Callithrix jacchus: one gene and its partner. The protein of the gene in region 2 interacts with the protein of the main gene of each other region in a pairwise test. Links are inferred from orthologs where the notes say so. Each region holds a gene or a part of one and is shown on either strand. Other genes may lie near its edges.

What was found.
Region 1: the proteins of DAXX (region 2) and PRMT1 interact in a two-hybrid assay, tested with the Homo sapiens proteins (2 studies listed by BioGRID and IntAct). The link is inferred for Callithrix jacchus from reciprocal best matches to the Homo sapiens genes DAXX and PRMT1.

What each region holds. Positions count from the first base shown.
Region 1 is NC_133523.1:43,444,221-43,447,965, reverse strand, and holds the start of PRMT1 (protein arginine N-methyltransferase 1), read right to left. Parts: upstream 2,492-3,745; 5' UTR 2,448-2,491; coding exon 2,412-2,447; intron 2,313-2,411; exon of another isoform or gene 2,131-2,312; intron 173-2,130; coding exon 119-172; intron 1-118. UniProt on the Homo sapiens protein: Arginine methyltransferase that methylates (mono and asymmetric dimethylation) the guanidino nitrogens of arginyl residues present in proteins such as ESR1, histone H2, H3 and H4, FMR1, ILF3, HNRNPA1, HNRNPD, NFATC2IP, SUPT5H, TAF15, EWS, HABP4, SERBP1, RBM15, FOXO1, CHTOP, MAP3K5/ASK1, MICU1 and NPRL2.
Region 2 is NC_133505.1:41,563,338-41,567,082, forward strand, and holds the start of DAXX (death domain-associated protein 6), read right to left. Parts: upstream 2,470-3,745; 5' UTR 2,377-2,469; intron 1,498-2,376; exon of another isoform or gene 1,495-1,497; 5' UTR 1,446-1,494; coding exon 1,239-1,445; intron 1,090-1,238; coding exon 258-1,089; intron 113-257; coding exon 1-112. UniProt on the Homo sapiens protein: Transcription corepressor known to repress transcriptional potential of several sumoylated transcription factors. Down-regulates basal and activated transcription.

The DNA of each region.
Region 1 (3,745 bases), on a different chromosome or scaffold from region 2:
GGGTCAACTGGTTTGAAGCAAGAGGGGTATGATTAGACCTCGAGAAAGGGCCAGTGTGTGGCAAGATATACTGATGTGGAGGTCAGGGTGGGGAGGGGTCTCACAAAAGGATATTTACTTCTTCAAGAGGCGGCTGGAGGCTCATCCCATTAGCCAAGGTGGCTACAAAATTCTAGGAGAGAGTAACAGGGAAAAAGGATTAGCTACCAGGAGTGGCTGCAGGGGGCTGGGCGGCGGGACCTGGGCTCTGGCAGGAGGTGGGGTGGGTGGGTTTCCAGCAATTCTTCTTCTTTGTGGGGAGTGGTGGCAAAGGGGGCAAGTAATGAGGTGGGGTGCTTAAGAAGGGATGGGAAAAGTGAGGGGAGAGAAAAGAAAGGGGGTCTCCGACCCCAGCTGTGGCTGGAGAGATGGTGGCCCGCCCCCACGTTGCTCCTCTCTGGCCAGGCAGCTGACCACACACCTCCCCCATCCAGGCCAGGGAAATTGGCACTGGCCACCGCCAGCTGTCGCTCCCCCTCATCACATAATCTCCCCCAGATTAGGTGACACTTCCTGACACACACACCCCTATCCTAGGGTGCCATGAATAGCAGGAGGGAGGGGGGCTGGCAGGCTATGCCCACAGGGCATCTGCCACCTCTGCAAACCAGTCTCTTGTCTGAGAGGATTCCAGAAAAGAGGTTTGGCCCACAGGCACTCCCCCAGAGCTAGTACCCCAGTCCCCAGCTCCTGCCTTGGGCTCAGGAGCCCCCAAACAAAACCAGCGGGAACCAACCCCCTCCCTTACAACCCTCTGCCCTGGAAGATGGAGTCCCAGGGATGATGGGCAGCCCCTGGACTCTCTAAGAATGAGAGGACTCCAGAAAGTGGCTTGGGGAGTCAGCCCATCGCCTCCATTCAGACACCCATCCTAGGCCCTGAAGACCCCTAGGTGCGGCCAAGCCTGAGGCCACCCCTGGGGAAGATATTTCCTCCACCCTTAGAGCCCTGGTGCAGGAGACCGCCAAGGGGGTGGGAAGTCATAGCAGTGACCCCTGGGAACTGCATCCTGAGAGCTGACCTGCCCCTCCAGCCAGTGCCATAGGTAAGGGGTGGAAGAACAGAGGTCCCATCAGATTACATCTCTTCCAGATGTGACCACTTTCCAAGTCTCCAAGAAGGGCCACATCACAGGCCATGACCTACTAGGCTGCAAGCACCCTCCCCCCAGCTCTCCCAAGCCAGCGCGGATGCCTATAAGAAGTGCTGGGGGGTTTTCCCGCGGGGGCCCATTTCTCAATCACGCTGAAAACTACCTCAAGACAATTCCAGCCCAAGAGGGCTTGAAACGCAAGACGGAAACCTCCCCCACATGGCTGAAAGAGAACCCAACCTAACTCGAAACCCTTTCAGGCAGCCAGCCTCAGGACCCCGGGGTTCAGGACCCCCTGGGGGGGGGGTCATCTCCCGCCCTCACAAAGGCCCGGGGGAGATAAAGGGCTCCAGGAGAGGATAAAGCTCTCAGCCTACGTATTTCCCACCACCACTCATTCCCAGCGGATATACCCTCCTCCCTCCCCCGCCCGGAAGAAATCCGACGGTAGGTGGGCTTCGGGACACGCCCCATGAAAAAGATGTTCCTCCCACACACCCAGAAATGGCCACAAGGGGGTGCACGGCACCTATTAATGGGAAAATCTCCACCTAGATGCCCCACAACCACCCAGAGGGAGGTCACAGGGGCATGCCCCATCCCCCAACTCCTAAAGCTCTGGGCTAGGGGGAGAATTCTGAGATGGGAAACGGGGTCGGGGGGACCCCATTCTTTTGTCTTCCTCCAGTGCCTAACCCAGAACGCACAAAACCGGGGCCGCTGTCCCAACAGATGTCCCCGGAGCTCGGAAGGAGGTTGTAAAGGGCTGAGAAGCACTGCCCTTCCCCAGAGACTCCCTACATCTTGGTGGGCCCCAGATCAATCCCACCCCAAGGCGTGTGCCCGCGTCTCCGGGGAGGAGAGCTGGTGGCCTCAGACGGAGGGTCGGGCCCCCTCCCCGCCCCCCCGGGCGCCCCTCCCCGGCCGGGGGCGGGGCCTTTGTCCCGCACGTGGAGCCCGCCAGGCCACCGGACTCGGCACACCCCCTCCCCACCCACCGCGCCGAGGCCACGTGGGGGCCTGGCCGGAAGCGCCCCCAGCCCCCCTCCACGTGGGAGGGGGGATGAGACCCTCCGCTAGGCCGGATGCCGAAGGCCCTTGAAAGCTAGGGAACCGCAACTTAAAACGATATCCCCGGATGCGGAGCGTGCGGTGACCCCGTGTGCGGCGGGCGACCTCTAACCTCCTGTCGCCGACTTAGAGCCCTTTCCCCACCACAGAGCTGTGAAACACCGACCCAAAGCCGCCCCCCTCTCAAGGCGGCGCTTCAAGCGCTCACCTCCATGATGCAGTTCGCGGCCTCGGCTGCCGCCATCTTCACCCGCACCTAATCCTCCTCCGGCCGCCAAGACCCCCCCTTTCTCCTCACTCCCCCGGGACCGTCTTATACCAGAAGGTCTAGGGCCCGCCTACCGCGACCCCGCCGGAAGATTTCATTGGTAAAGGAGGCAGCCCGTCTGAGAATACCGTCTAGTTATTGGGTAGAGAAGACGTCGATCATAGGTCAGGGGTTTGCCAACTCTGGCGCCCAGAGTCCCGCCCCCTCAAGTCGACCTGGGATGGGGAAAACTGCCCGTCTATTGCAAAAAGCGCGACTGGTGATTGGGCAAAGTCTACATAAATGCCCGCCCCTTTACCCCAGCACCGCCTCAAAGCTTCCCGGCGAGCCCCGCGCTAAAGGGGCGTCTCGAAATGCCTGTCCATCACCAAAACGACCCGCCTCCTCATCGCTCCCATTGATTTATCCTAACATGACGTCACGCAGCCCTTGGCCCACCCTCGCCAAGCGGCCGGCTTCAAGGAGAACACGACGATTGGCCCAAGGGTAGTGAAGGAGGCGGGGTTTCAGGCACCACCGATTGGCTCAAAGGAACTCCCACTCCTCGAACACTCGGTGGATTTTCCCAGGCCGGGGAGGGTCTGGAGGAAAAAGGGGGCTTGTGCCCATTCTGGGGGGAAAAAAACTGAATCAGTGAGAGGAAGGGCCTGTCTGGGGTCCCTAAGCAAGTGAGGAATAGGTGTCCGCCTCAACACATTAAATCCTTATATCCTAGCCTTTGACATAATCATTCCAAGTTTGTTTTTTGTTTTTGTTTTTCTTTTCTTTTTTTTTTTTTGAGACAGAGTTTCGCTCTTGTTACCCAGGCTGGAGTGCAATGGCGCGATCTCGGCTCACTGCAACCTCCGCCTCCTGGGTTCAGGCAATTCTGCTTCAGCCTCCCGAGTAGCTGGGATTACAGGCACGCACCACCATGCCCAGCTAATTTTTTATATTTTTAGTAGAGACGGGGTTTCACCATGTTGACCAGGATGGTCTCGATCTCTTGACCTCGTGATCCACCCGCCTCGGCCTCCCAAAGTGCTGGGATTACAGGCTTGAGCCACCGCGCCCGGTCCTGTTTTTCGTTTTTTTGTGATGGAGTCTTGCTCTGTATCTCAGGCTGGAATGCAGTGGTGCGATCTCGGCTCACTGCTGTCTCCGCCTCCCAGGTTGGTTGAAACGATTCTCCTGCCTTAGCCTCCCGAGTAGCTGGGACTACAGGCGCGTGCCACCACACCCACCTAATTTTTGTATTTTCAGTAGAGACCGGGTTTCATTGTGTTGGCCAGGCT
Region 2 (3,745 bases):
TCTTGCAACATTGCATATTTGGAGATGACCTCATCCAACCGACTCATGGCCAAACTCCGGTTTTCCCGAAGGCGCCGGGCCAACACAGGATCTGACAGCGCAGGGTCAATGCCTACATGGGAAGACATAAAGTCAGAGCACTCAGCCCTTGAAGGGCCTAGAAGAGTACAAACCCTAGAAAGGACTAGAGAGATGCCCCATCCGCCTCATACCTGACAATATAAAGGTCACTGACAGGTATCCCACTAACCCCCTACCTGGCCTATAGTCATCTGTGAGGTGGCAGCCAAAGTTGTAGATGAGATCGAGGTGCCGTCGTTCCTGTAACCTGATGCCCACATCTCGGAAGGCATCCTGAGCCATGAGCTGGAGTTGCTGTCGGGGGAGGCCAAGGCTGTGGCGAGCAGCTGCCTTCTCCACTGCCCGAAGCACATCTCCATAGTCAGGGAAGGTATCAGGCCCTGGCTTGTTGATGAGCCGCTCAATGCGCCTGTTAACCTCTGGGTAGCGGGTACCACGGTAGGGGATGCGCTGCTCTATGACACGGCCCGTCAGTGAAGAGCAGTCTTTCAGCTCACATAGTCGCCCAAAGAGGCGGATCAGCTTACGCTTCAAGCGTGCCTCCTGCAGGTATGTGGAGTCTGGGTCGTCCAATTCCGAGAGATCTAACTCCTTTTCCTGCAGCCGCCGGATCTCTGCCACATAGAGTGCCAGCAGCTGCTCCAAGCGCTGGATCTGCCGCCGGGAACCACGGGTCCTTGGGGCCTCAGAGGCAGTGTTTTCAGCATTTGTGGGGTCCAAGGAGAGGTGTGTGGGAGAGTTATTCCCAGACGGCTCATTGGAGGTGGTGAGAGCAGGGGCCAAGTTCAGCTTCTTTTTGGCTGAGTGGGCCTTGAGAACAGTGCAGAGCTCATTAATGTAGACATAGAGCTTAGCTGGCCGGCTCTGGGCCCGAGATAGGACCCGAGAGAGGATGTTGCAGAACTCCGCCGAGGCCAAAAACAGAGAGTGGGCACGTTGCTGCCGGCTATAGAGGAATGGGACCACCTCAGGGTGGTCTGCTGTCTGCATCTTACAAAGTTCAAGGAACTGGAAGGTTCAGGGGAAGAAGGGAAGGGAAGAGAGACAAGGGAAGGGTTGAGAGAAAGGGGTGGTGGGGTTAGTGGGGAAGAAAGGACAGGAGAGCCAGTCAGCCATCCCCCTCCCTGGGGTACAAAAATCTTCCCACTAAAGCTCACCTCTTTGAACAGCTTCTCATTCTCCAACTTGTAGCATTTCTTGCCTCCCGAACTACTGCGTCCTCTGGCCCCATGAGGCTCAGAGGAGCTAGGGGCTTCTGCCTCAGGCGAGGCCGAACTGGGGAGTGGGTGGGAGGGCCCTGGCTGAGCAGCTGCTTCATCTTCGTCATCATCATCCAGCACAATGATGCTGTTAGCGGTGGCCATGGGGGATCAAATCCCCCAGACGGAGGAAGTGGTGGGGATTTCAGAATTCCTGCTGGAAGGGGATGGGGCCTCAGAATGATCCCCTCCAGCATTGCCCCATCCCTTCACCTCACACATTTTCCTAACTCCTTGGGTTTCAGTAACATCCATCCCTGACCAAAACTATCTTCACCACCTGATTTCAATAACCATTAGTTCTATATGCTTTTCGGGCTCTTCAAGTGGTGTGGGGAGGGCAAACCACCCCCACACCATAAGTTGCCACCTTCTGCTCCACCCCTCACGTCGATTTCCGGTCTTTCAGTTTCGTCTCTCCACTATTTCTCAGAGTTGGCAAGTTGAGTCTTCCTCCCACACTGCACCCCAAATCGTCCTGACACCCCCTTGTACAGATAACACACTCTTATGGGCGCCACCTTATGTATTTGCCACGTCTGTCCTCAAACATGTCAACCCCACACCCACCCCATCCTGAATGATCACCCCAACTTCTAGACTCTCTGAGGCAAAAGAGGTTCCCTCCCAACAGTCCGTTCTCTTTTCCCCTCCTTGAACTGGCTCCATATTTCACCCTCTGATGAGTCTCCTCAAACTGGGGCTTCAGGTTGAAGATATTTTACTCCAAGTCCCCTCCCTCTCACCCCACCCTAATTTTCCCCATTCTCTCTGTGACCTGATCAAAAGTACCCCCCAGCCTCCGCGCTGCGTTCTCCCGATTCCTCTTAGATCCCAACCCTGGGTCGAGCAGGTCCAGTAGACGCGCTTCCCGCCAAATCCCCCTCCCCCAGTTCAACCCCCGGCCGCCCCACTCCCTTTCAGGGATAGGAAGGTATCACAGCTTTCACCTCAGACCCAATGCCTGGCTCTCCCCCATACCCCTCCCCCGATATCCCCGCCCCTGCCTCTGGTCCCCGCACCGGCCGGCCCCCACCTCAGAAACGGTCTCTCGAGGCGACCCTCGCGGCTGATCTCAGAACCTCGCATGGTTCCCTCCGCCTTCCTTCCCCCTCCCACCGCAGGCCCCACTACGGACCGGAAGTCACAGAGTTTCCGCCTACAGGCAACTAAGCGCCGCCATATTGTCGTACGGAACCCAGTCTTTCTGTGGACGGAAGTGGCCGTAGGCCCGCCCCGTGAACACTTTCAGTGCCGCCCACATAGCGCTCTCTTTCAGATCGGAGTTTGTCTCCCCCAACCCAAGCTTCCCAAAGCAGCTGGGGGCCGCCATTTTGCCGTACGGCGCTGGCTAAACCCGGACTCCGGTGCGCAGCCAGTGGAGCTCTTTTCACCCGGTGCTTCTACGACTCTGCCAATCAGAAACTTCCTGCTTGGGGCCTAATCGCTGGCGAGTAGCATGTAGGGAGGACCGAGCCTCCTTTTCGAGCAGGGGCAGGGGAACCGTACAGGGTGGATAAGGAATTGGGCTTTCCAAAGCTGCGCAGGATTTCATGGAAGGGCAGAAGTCTCTTAAAAGGGAAGTAAAACCTTTTTATTTCAGCTGGGCTGTTGGCAAGCCTTCTGGCCCTGCTTTCCTGTCCCCCAGATTCCCAGATTCCCATTTCCAAGGCTTATTCGGCTGCTCCTTCCCCTTTCCCCGCTAGGCGGCGCGCTCCTTGCCGCTGTCCAGCAGTTGCTTCCACTGCCAGGGTCTGCGTCTCCCGATTGTTATAACACATGCATACAAATGAGCACAACGCGCCATGCAAAAGTGTTGTTATTATTATTATTGCTACTGTTGTTGATTTGCTTTTCAAGCTTCACCACAGAACTAATGGCCAACCAAACTGGTGGGACTCGAATGGTTCTGCTTCTCCGGAGGGGGTCCTCGAGGGGCCGTTTGTGCTGACCAGGAGGCCGTGCTTTGTCGTGGAGGCCCCCCCGCAGGGTCTGTGGATAGGCAATGATGGGGTGGGACTTGGAGGAGAGTCTGTGAGACGAAAATACCTTGGGTCTCCGCCTCCTCTTCTGGGAGAGCTGAAAAAAGAATAAAGGATGAAGAAACAAACTGATACTCACCTCGTTGAGTTTAGGGAGACTGTAGGGTGTCGTGGAGGCAAGGCTGTTTCCAGAGGTGAGCTTATGAGGAAACCAGAAATGTTAACAGGGTCCCAATCGTTGAGATTCCCACTTTCACAACATCTTGCCACTTAACTGGGGCCACAGAGGTCCTTAGATCCCTAACGCTGAGTCCCGGAATGGCAAACACCGTTCATTAAACAATCCCACATCACTTCTCTCCCGTTGTCAAAGTCTACAGCTTTCAAAATGGGAACATAAAACTCTCGGAGGGGACTGGGACT